Linked DNA regions of Danio rerio. The protein of the gene in region 1 binds, or shares a complex with, the protein of each later gene. Links are inferred from orthologs where the notes say so. Each region holds a gene or a part of one and is shown in the gene's direction. Other genes may lie near its edges.

The links. The genes of interacting proteins can lie anywhere in the genome.
Region 2: nup58 (region 1) and nup93 share a complex: the UniProt entries of both Homo sapiens proteins name them as parts of the p62 complex. The link is inferred for Danio rerio from reciprocal best matches to the Homo sapiens genes NUP58 and NUP93.
Region 3: nup58 (region 1) and nup62l share a complex: the UniProt entries of both Homo sapiens proteins name them as parts of the p62 complex. The link is inferred for Danio rerio from reciprocal best matches to the Homo sapiens genes NUP58 and NUP62.

The regions. Positions count from the first base shown.
Region 1 is NC_133199.1:28,984,888-28,988,544, reverse strand, and holds part of nup58 (nucleoporin p58/p45), read left to right. Parts: intron 1-74; coding exon 75-347; intron 348-464; coding exon 465-627; intron 628-705; coding exon 706-771; intron 772-2,474; coding exon 2,475-2,649; intron 2,650-2,734; coding exon 2,735-2,814; intron 2,815-2,899; coding exon 2,900-3,018; intron 3,019-3,101; coding exon 3,102-3,184; intron 3,185-3,657. UniProt on the Homo sapiens protein: Component of the nuclear pore complex, a complex required for the trafficking across the nuclear membrane.
Region 2 is NC_133193.1:18,957,370-18,961,026, forward strand, and holds part of nup93 (nuclear pore complex protein Nup93), read left to right. Parts: intron 1-2,681; coding exon 2,682-2,799; intron 2,800-3,657. UniProt on the Homo sapiens protein: Plays a role in the nuclear pore complex (NPC) assembly and/or maintenance. May anchor nucleoporins, but not NUP153 and TPR, to the NPC. During renal development, regulates podocyte migration and proliferation through SMAD4 signaling.
Region 3 is NC_133189.1:11,218,689-11,222,345, forward strand, and holds the end of nup62l (nucleoporin 62 like), read left to right. Parts: intron 1-355; coding exon 356-490; intron 491-2,805; coding exon 2,806-2,917; intron 2,918-3,000; coding exon 3,001-3,067; intron 3,068-3,161; coding exon 3,162-3,253; 3' UTR 3,254-3,350; downstream 3,351-3,657. UniProt on the Homo sapiens protein: Essential component of the nuclear pore complex. The N-terminal is probably involved in nucleocytoplasmic transport.

The DNA.
Region 1 (3,657 bases):
TTGATTTTGTTTTGCCCTGAATTCAGCTTATCTGAAAGCCAATTCAAAACTCTTGTCTTTTTGCCTGTTCATAGGGAGTCTTACCACCTCGACCGCTGCTTCCACTGGCTTCAGTTTGGGCTTTGGAAAGCCAGCGGCCTCAGCTACACCTTTCTCTCTAACCACCACCACCGCCTCTGCACCTGCGGCAACAGGCCTCTCTCTGGGATCCGTCCTCACCTCCACAGTTCCTCAGACCAGCTCCACTGGCTTTTCCCTCAACTTAGGAGCAGCAGCAGCCACTTCCTCTGCTCCTGCATCAGGTTTCTCCTTTGGATCAAGTCTTTTCTCCAACCCCACTCTTACAGGTCAGCCTTTTTTTCCTTTGTGATAGTTGAATTCATTTTAACTTGTCATTAATTTATGCATGGATTAACTAGTGATTAATTGACTTGTGTTTTTGCTTATTTTAATGTGTGTTTCAGGTTTGGGACAGTCCACTTTAGGTGGACCTTTGAGTCTGGGCGGTTTAGTCTCTACCTCTGTCGCAACCACCTCAGCTCCTGCTCCCAGTCTCGGCCTGGGTGGAGTAGACTTCAGTACTTCCTCTGAAAAGAACACAGACAAGTTGTCCAGCACCAGACCTGAGTAAGAACCACACCACTGTTACCTCTGACTCGTTAGTGTTTATTGTATTTGTTCTTACTCTTATGTTAATGTCTACAGGGACAGTAAAGCCCTTAAAGATGAAAACCTGCCAGCTCCGATCTGTCAAGATGTGGACAATTTTCAGTAAGTGAACAACTTTCAGCATTAGGGTGGAGCAGTAACCTGTGAAGCTAATTCATTACTAGACAAAATTAGGTCTTGCCCATATTAAGGGGTGTGCAATATTTATCATCAACAATAATAGTTGTTATTTTAATTTGCAAGCTGACATGGGGTCAAAAAAATACATTCACATTTTTAGAATTAATTATCATTTATTGTGTGATGAAGCTAATTAACTGCTGTGAATGACACTATAATTCAATTAGTGAAAACCAAAAAATACCCCTATATAGTTATTGGGTTTTTAATGGCATGTTGTAATGGCGTACAAGCCAGAATTGCCATTTTCAGGAACATCCAACGCATGAGCTTGAACAAAAATGTTAAGTCAATTTTATTCAGTAGTTAAGCAGAAAAATATGCTAATTAGGCATGGAATGATTATCGGTTTCAAGGTTTAGAGCAGTTTGGGAAAAGTCAAGGTTTTAAAACCACAAAAATTTTATGTTATACCATTCCTATGGTATATGAAAGTTTTTTTTTTTTTAGTTTTTTTTTTAGCATGTTTGTTATGACACCCTACTGGTCAGCTTATTGATTCAGCAAACATCTGAAAAACAAATCTTTTATAAACCAACATCTAAGTATGCTATAGACCTGAACACTGCAGTGGCTTACTGTACTGTTAGGGCTTGGCGATATGGCAAAAATGCAGTCTTGATAATTGTTTTCCATATTGAACAATAGCGATATATATTTCGATACAAGTTGTTAATGCTTCCAGATTTAAGAGAGTACCCCAACAATGACTGAAGCTGCAAAACTAGAGGGTCCATTAAATGGCATAATTTTTCAGCCAATACATTTTCGGTGTGCAAAAATTCGTTACATCTCTAATATCAACACACTTTTAGATTCCCATTGTTCCATGTTTCTGCTGTGTGATTGGCTCTTAGATCAATATAGAGTAAAAAGTCCAGAACTTATTGTTATGGACAATTTATCACGATTCGATAAAATATCGATTATCTGCCCATAGCTACTTATTGTATATGCAAAGAACAGAAGTCAATAATTTATTTTAATTATTTAGCCTAACATGTTTCCTGTTCAAAATATTTGAAATGTTTCTTAAAATACAATATATTGTTCAATAAGGGAAATGTGTGTTTTTTTTTTCACCCATACAGATAAAAAAAGGCATTTTGTAGAGCAGTAATCACGATACCGTGAAACCATGATATTTTTATCCAAGGTTGTCATACTGTCAAAATCTTACACCGACCCTTTCCTTAATGATAATATTGAGTTACTTTACAGACACAATATTAAATCCTTTTTTTCAGTCTTGCCAATAAAGGGTGGATATAATCAAAGCCATAGAAGAACCCTTGTGCGTCTCATTTGTTTTTAAACAAAAATTTGAGTCAGTGATTTAATGATTGGCTGCATCACAAACACTGTAGTTGGTGAAAAGCAGTATTTGACAAAGAATTATGTTAGAATCGAAAAGATTGTGATAAATATACTAGTGACACCTTTGTTAATGAAGAAAATCCAGGTTATGTTCAAATTTGTTCCTACTCTTCTATTGTTTTTTTTTTGTGGTTACAAAGTGATTATCCAAAATAATTATATAATCCATGTGCAAATTAATTAAAATGTGAATGTATCAGATGTCTTTTTTTTGTCTTTGACTAACTACGTGCCTGATTTTACCATAGGAAATTTGTCAAGGAACAGAAGCAAGTCCAGGAGGAGATTAGCAGAATGTCCTCTAAACCCATTCTCAAAGTTCAAGAGGACATCAAGATGCTCAGACAGCTCCTGTCCGTCTGTGCCAGCGGGCTGCAGAGAAATTCCCTCTCCATAGATAAATTAAAGCTGGAAACTTCTCAGGTAAGACCAAACATGTCTTTTGGACCATCTTCATTACTTCCCAGAGTATTGTTCAGTCTTGTAATCTGTCTTTTTTTTCATTCAGGAATTGAAAAATGCTGATATTGCGCTTCGCACCCAGAAGACCCCGCCTGGACTCCAACATGAAAACACAGCACCATCAGAGTGAGTGTGAACTTGTGCGCTATTACTTCCATTTAAAGCAGTTAGTAATTGATGGCACTAATGTGCACTCCATCTTTCCTTCCAGCTATTTCCGGGCACTGGTGGAGCAGTTTGAGGTGCAGTTACAGCAGTACCGTCAGCAGATTGAAGAACTGGAGAATCATCTGACCACTCAGGGCAGTGGCTCCCACATCACCCCTCAAGGTTTGTTATACCAGACTGAACAAAGCACTGTCATGTGTTAGCTCTGATATCCACTTAACTTTATGATATCCTCTGTCATGTAGATTTGTCGATGGCTATGCAGAAGCTATACCAGACATTTGTTGCGCTTGCTGCTCAGTTGCAGGGAGTTCATGAGAATGTTAAAGTAAGTTTTGAACTCATTTTTTGTTGCATTGTAAATGTTGTTGTTTTTTAATCCGTTATTAATGAGATTATAAATGAGAGTCAAATTAGGCATTGGCTGGTATAAGATTCTGACGGTATGATAATCTTGGATAAAAATATCACGGTGTTCAGCAGAACAAAAAAGTTCAACTGAATTTGAACAATAAATGCATTCGAGTATATTTTAATGCACTAAATCTTTAAATCAGGGGTGGCCAAACTTCGCCCTGGAGGGCCGGTGTCCTACAGATTACAGATACACCTGTAAAGATGTTTCTAGAAAGCTTTATAAGAGCTTGATTACCTAACCCAGGTGTGTCTGATTGGGGTTGGAACTGAACTTTGCAGGACACCGGCTCTCCAGGACTGAGTTTCGACACCCCATTTTAAATGATAAATATTTCTGACCTCAGTTTAAATGAACTGATGCATTAAGCACAATACATAAAAATT
Region 2 (3,657 bases), on another chromosome or scaffold:
TCAAATTCATGCTTTACTGTGTATTGTTCATTAGTAAATGCATTAACTAATACAACCTTATTGTAAAGTGTTACCAGTATTTCTAAACATTAAAAAAAAAATTATGACTAAACTGACTATTTACGACTATTATTTATGACTAAATCTAACAATTATGAATTATTAAAATGTGTTATGAGTTTCAACATTCTATTCAAGTTTCAAAATTTCAACTGAAAGTATTAGTTGACCCAAAAATCTAAATTCCGTTATTAATTACTCATCCTCATGTCATTCCAGTCTCCACCCTTTAATCATTTTTGAAGAACAAGTTAAGATTCATTCATTTTCTTTTCGCCTTAGTCCCTTTATTAATCTGGTCTCGCCACAGCGGAATAAATTATCCAGCATATGTTTTTTGCAGCGAATGCCCTTCCAGCTGCAACCCCTCACTGGAAAACATCCATACACACACAATTACACACATACACTACGGGCAATTTAGCTTACCGAATTCACCTATACAATATGTCTTTGGACTTGTGGGGGAAACCGAAGCACCTTGAGCAAACCCACGTGAACACGAGGAGAACATGCAAACTCCATACAGAATCGCCAACTGACCCAGCCGGGGCTCGAACCAGCGACCTTCTTGCTGTTAGGCGATCGTGCTATCCACTGACGCCCTACAAATTGAGATATTTTAGATTAAATAAAAGAGCGGTCTGAAGCTCCATTTACAGCAAAGGTTGTGCAATGTTTAAAGTCCAGAAATGGAAGCAAAAACATACAAATCATGCAAAGATATGGGGAATACAAAATCTAATACTAATACGTCATATTGCACCATGCACCCTAATGACCAGACCAGAGAAGACACTGGCTAACAAAGTTGTGTTTACAGTTTTGTGACACACAACAGTGTTCTTGGATCTTCATATGATTACAGTTGAAGCATTAAAGTCATATGGAGTGTTAGACAATGTTTTTGACTCCTTTTCTGGACTTTCAACATTGCTGTCTATGGAAGATGAAGGAGCTCTCGGATTTAATCTCAAATCTGTTTGTATTTATATTGCACTATTTTTACTTTCTACCTTCCAATGGAGAGTTATATCTTCCAGTCATGACTTTATATCACCCAATAGTGACTTTGTGTCTTCCAGTTGCTATATCCCGTTTTCAATAGTGACTTAACATCTTACTAAAATTCTTCCAGTTTGGAAGACTTTTGTTCGTCTCCCCGTTGCTATTTTGTATCACCCAAGAGCAACTTTGTATTGACCATATTCTTCACATATGAGCGGGTGCTGCCATTGGAATGTTTTTGGCTCAAGACTTCCGGTTTCATTCACTTCTGTAGATTTTTAGATGTTAATAACAGCTTGTTATGCTGCTTAATGTTGCAAACTGATTTTTTCATTTTATATTATTTTACTTTGTGATGCAGTGGGTAGTGTTGTCGCCTCACAGCAAGAACGTCGCTGGTTCGAGCCTCGGCTGGTTCAGTTGGCATTTCTGTGTGGAGTTTGCATGTTCTCCCCTTTTCACGTGGGTTTTCTCTGGGTGCTCCGGTTGCCCCCACAGTCCAAAAACATGCGGTACAGGTGAATTGGGTAGGCTAAATTGTCCTTAGTGTATGAATGTGAATGAGAGCGTTAAAACGTGCTGGATAAGTTGGAGGTTCATTCCGCTGTGGCGACCCCGGATTAATAAAGGGACACTATGCCGAAAAGAAAATGAATGAATTATTTTACTTTTTATGTTTAGTCATGAACACATTTGTTTTGTAGAGCAAGCAGTTTGATAGTTTTCTGCCGTTTATTATTCCTAGTCATTTCTCCCATAGGCAAATGAATCGAAGCTCTAAAACAATAGCATAAATAAGTTGGAAAAAAAGAAAAAAATTACACTTTTGTATTGCAGAAGGTGGTCAATATTGTATTTGCAACTGTATACCTCCAGTAGTGACTTTATGTCTCCCAGTAGCTACTATATATCTCCCATTTGCTGTCATTTATATCTTCTAATAGTGACCTTTGTATCTCCCAGTTGTGACTTTACATTTCCCGTTTGCAACTGTTTGTATCTCTCTATTGTGGCTATCACTACTGTGACTTCTACATTATATCTCTTAGTTGTCTCTTAATAGTTAAAAGTTGTGACTTTGTATCTTCAAGCAGCTTATGCAGTATATTTCTCTTTAATGACTTTACATCTTTTGTATAAATTGCAATTTAATATCACTCAATTGAAAATCTTCCAATTGTGACTCCAAATCTCTCAGTTGTTTCAACTTCTTCACTATTGCCTTTTTATTTATCAGCGTTGCATACATGTCTCTGTTAAAGCTTTATGTCTTTCAGCTTTCTCCCAAGTGCAACTTTGTCGTCCAGTTACGGCTTTGTTTTCTTCTAAACAAATTTGTCTCTCTTTCACCTCAAATCTTTCTTTTGGGGAATTTTGTTTGGCCTCATTTGTAAGCCTCTTTGGAATAAATTAAATGTAAATGTGATTGTGATTTACATCTTTATATTATGCTTTGCGACTTCTCTTATTTAAAGCAATATCTCGCAATTACCTTTTTACCCCGAGGTAAACTAGTCATCATTTTAAAAAAGTTACATCGTGTGGATTTTTTTGAGTGTTTAGGCTGTAGTTACATTAAAGCCCAATGGTATCTTGTATTTGTTTGCTAACAGGTACCGTGCTAATGGTGTAGCTGGAGAGAAGTCAGTGGACAACACCTTCTACCTTTTGCTGGACCTCATGACGTTCTTTGATGAGTATCATGCCGGACACATTGACCGAGCCTATGATGTAAGTCACCATTAAAGGTCCTGTAAAGTGCTTTGTAATGTGCATTTTAATTCATGAAGAGAGGGTGGGACAGTGTAGCTCCTCCTCTTAAAAAAAAAACAGCCAATAGTGTTCCCATACTGATAAACTTCTGGTGACCTGTTATTGTGAGTTTTTTCCATTTTATACGGTTCCTTTCACAGCATCGATGTTGTAATGTAATTCAAATACAATCAGTTAAACAGACTTAGGCATTCATTTAGTTGCTCAAGCCTAAAACGAGACAAAAAGCTGTTTACTCGCATGCGCCCGTCAGAATCGGCAGGCGAGCGCAGAAGCTCCATTGAATATATTGAGGTAAAATAAATGCTCATATTATAAAGACATGGCAGGGAAAATGTAATTTAATGCAGTGTTTCTTGTACAATCTGAGACCTACTTTATATCGGATTTCATTCACCCTGTGGAGATCGCTGATTTGTAAAGAAAACAGACTTAAAATGCTCCGATTTTGTCGGCGCAATAGCCTAGTGGTTAGCGTGCCGACATATGGTGCAATAGCACGTCAGGGGGTCGCGAGTTCGAATCTCGGCTCGACGACATTTCCCTACCAACCCACCCTCTTTCTCTCCCACCTCGCTTCCTGTCTCAATGCTGTCCTATCTAATAAAGGCAAAAAAAAAAACGCACCGATTTTGCATTGGCATACAGTTCACCGGAATCGCTTAACCCAGGTTACTTGCAAACTAAAAGTCCTATTAGGATGCTTCAGCATATACCCTTTTAAAAGCAAATGAGAAGGTATTAAAGGGGGTGGGGCATGTCAGACACTAGAGATCATTTAAATAGTCATGATATGATGAGAACTAAAGTATTACA
Region 3 (3,657 bases), on another chromosome or scaffold:
AAAATGCTGTCAATTTGATGAAAATTTCAGTAAAATCTGAAAGTTGATTTAGTTACACAATTGATCCTCTGTACCAACATGGTACATTGTAGTGCATGATTTGTCTAAAATTGTTAGTGGCTAGTGAAAATATTGGAGAAGTAATCATTTGAAAATGTTAATACTTGCAGAGATTTATGGAAGTGTTGCATATTGATATTACTTAGTTTCCTACCTTGTTAAATCATTGTTGACAACTATTGTGAGAAATCATTACCATGATCAGTGTCTTCATGGAGGACTTAACCAGACAGCTTGTATTGCTGTTAGATGCTGTAATCTTACTGTTAAAAACATTTCTGTGTTTTTCCCACAGGCTGGATCAAGAACTGGACTTTATCCTTTCCCAGCAGAAAGAGCTGGAGGATCTTCTTAGTCCGTTAGAGGAGTCCGTGAAGGAGCAAAGTGGAACCATATACATGCAGAATGCAGATGAAGAACGAGAAAGAACGTAAGAACATAAACTGGCAGATGTCTGGCCACTTTTACCCGGCTGTGTTTTCATTTTAACATAATGTTTGTTTTAAAATGAAAACAATCAGTGTCAGATTGGCTTTTTCATGAGATTTCAGAAAAGATCTTCATCCACACTAAATTAACCAACTAAAAACACATGGCAGAAGCTAAAATTAGATCTAAAATTGTAATACAATATTGTAGCCTATATACAATCATATTCACTACAAATTGTAAATCATTTTAAACACATAGTTTTAAAGCGCATTAAGAGAAAAAATTCAGGTTTAATTAGCAGTAACCCTTAAAGTTAACTGTATTAAGAAGAACCCTCTAAATAATCTGAAAATATACTAACTCTTATTGTAGTAAAAGATTGTATTTATAGTTATAAAATTAAATTTAAATTAAAGTATTCATTACAAACAACATTTGCATATTATGAAATTCTGTCAAGCGAAAAATGCACATTTAAGTTGGCAGTAATTAATATTATTATTATTATAAATAACAGGGTAATAATCTAAAAACTACAAAAATGTATTGTCATATACAATTAAAACAAACAAATTAAAACAATATTTACTAGTCTAGTTTGTATAGTAGGCACAAACATGTGCCCGGATAAACACTCACCGGCCACTTTATTAGGTATACTTGTCCAACTGTTCAATAACTCAAATTTCTAATCAACTAAACACATGGCAGCAACTCAATGCATTTAGGCATTTAGACATGGTCAAGGTGATCTGCTGCAGTTTAAATCAAGCATCAGAATGGGGAAGAAAGGGGATTTTAGTGACTTTGAATGTGACATGGTTGTTGGTGCCAGACAGGCTGTTCTGAGTATTCCAGAAGCTGCTGATCTACTGAGATTTTCATGGACAACCATCTTCAGGGTTTCATAAAATGGTCCAAAAAAGAGAAAATATCCAGTGAGCAGCAGTTCTGTGGGCACAAATGCCTTGTTGAAGCTTATACAAAGGCAACAGCAACTCAAATAACCACTCTTTACAACCGAGGTATGGAGAAGAGCATCTCTGAACACACAACACGTTGAACTTTGAGGCAGATGGGCTACAGCAGCGGAAGACCACACTGGTTGCCTCTCCTGTCAGCAAAGAACGGGAAAGGCTACAATTCACTCACCAAAATTGGACAACAAAAGATTAGAAAATCGTTGCCTGGTCTGATGAGTCTCAATTTTTGCTGCAACATTCAAATGGTAGGGTCAGAATTTGGTGTCAACAACATGAAAACATCGATTCATCCTGCATTGTATGAACGATTCAGGCTGCTGGTGGTGTAAAGGTGTGGGGGACATTTTCTTGACACACTTTGAGCCCATTAGTAAAAATTTAGGCATCGTGTCAACGCCACAGGCTCCCTGAGTATTGTTGCTGACCATGTCCTTCCTTTTATGACCACAGTGTACCCATCTTCTGATGGTTACTTCCAGCAGGATAACACGGCATGTCATAAAGTGTGAATCATCTCAGACTGGTTTCTTGAACATGACATTGAGGTCAATGTGTTCAATGTACTCAAATGGCCTCCACAATTACCAGCTCTCAATCCAGTAGAACACCTTTGGGATGTGGTGGAACAAGAGAATTGCATCATGGATGTGCAGCTGACAAATCTGCAGCAACTGCATGATGCTATCATGTCAATATGGACCAAATTCTCTGAGGAATATTTCCAGGACCTTGTTGAATCTATGCTACTAAGGATTACAGCAGTTTTAAAGGCAAAAAGGGGGCCAGTCCACTACTAGTAAGGTATACCTTATAAAGTGGCCGGTGGTTGTGTTTAAAGCTAAACTAACCTCTCATTTGAGATTTATATATTTGTTTTAAAAGGTTTAGCAAACCAAATATTTTAATAGAAAAGAAGCTTTTAATTATATATACTGGTAAATGTAAAACATTTAAACTATATTGGGATTTACTTTTAAATGTTTGTACACACAGTAAAAAAAACCATGTTGATATTTTAAAATTTTCTACAGAATCTACTTTATTGATTTTAAACCACTTCCTTGAACTTGAGGCTTATCACATAAAGTTTAACTCGCCCTCAGGGTCTTGAATTGATATTTAATTGAAATCCAGAAGACCTAATTAGGGAGTGAATGTAAACAGCTTCATTGTCATAAGTTCCGATCTGTCTACATGTACTCTGGAGTTATGTGGATGCCAGACATAATCAAAACAAAAGTTTAAATGAACAAAAAAAGTGTAAATGTAGTGTCAATCAACCCTGTCAGAAGCTCACGTTTTCTTCAAATACTAATAATCTTTTATCCAGGTACAAGTTGGCTGAAAATGTGGATGCTCAACTCAAAAGAATGTCCCAAGATCTAAAAGAGATTATTGAACACCTCAACACCTCCAGTGGACCCGCTGACACTGCTGACCCGGTATGCACAATATAATCTATATTTGTAAAAAATCAATGCTGTTACCTGGACCAAGACTGACTTGTGGTGTCTTTTTTTTCCAGCTTCAGCAGATCTGCAAAATTCTCAATGCACACATGGACTCCTTACAATGGGTGGAGCAAAATTCAGGTCAGTATCCACTTAAATTCGATACATATTTCGCTACACAGTCTTTTTTGGAATGTTTCATTGAATCCTTTGCATACATTTTGCTTATGTGCAGTTTTACTTCAGAGGCGAGTGGAGGAGGTCTCAAAGTTGTGTGAGAGCCGCAGCAAGGAGCAAGAGAAGAGCTTTCGTTTAAACTTCCAGTGATCATGCATAATCATGTTGTTTTTTCTTCAGTCAGATGTAATGAACGTCTTTGTTTTTGATATTTGCTTCAAAATAAAATTAGCTTGGTTTCCTCTTAGTTTATGTATTTGTATTGATTGTCAATTCTCCAAAATCTGGAGTCATTTTAAAGATCTAAAACGAACAAATCTACAGAGCAAGGCTTTTCTTTTCCTGCTTTACGGTTATGGGATGAAACGAGCCAATCAGCTGGATGGAGCTCCACCATAGCAACATGGATCCTGGCATTGTTTAATATCAAGCATTCCTGCGACTACGTCGAGCAAATAAAAAATAAACGTATATACAAGCAGTTGCGAGCATTACTTTTAGAGAAAGCTGCAGGTATATGAAGGCGACGAGATGACCACCGACATCTGCAGGTA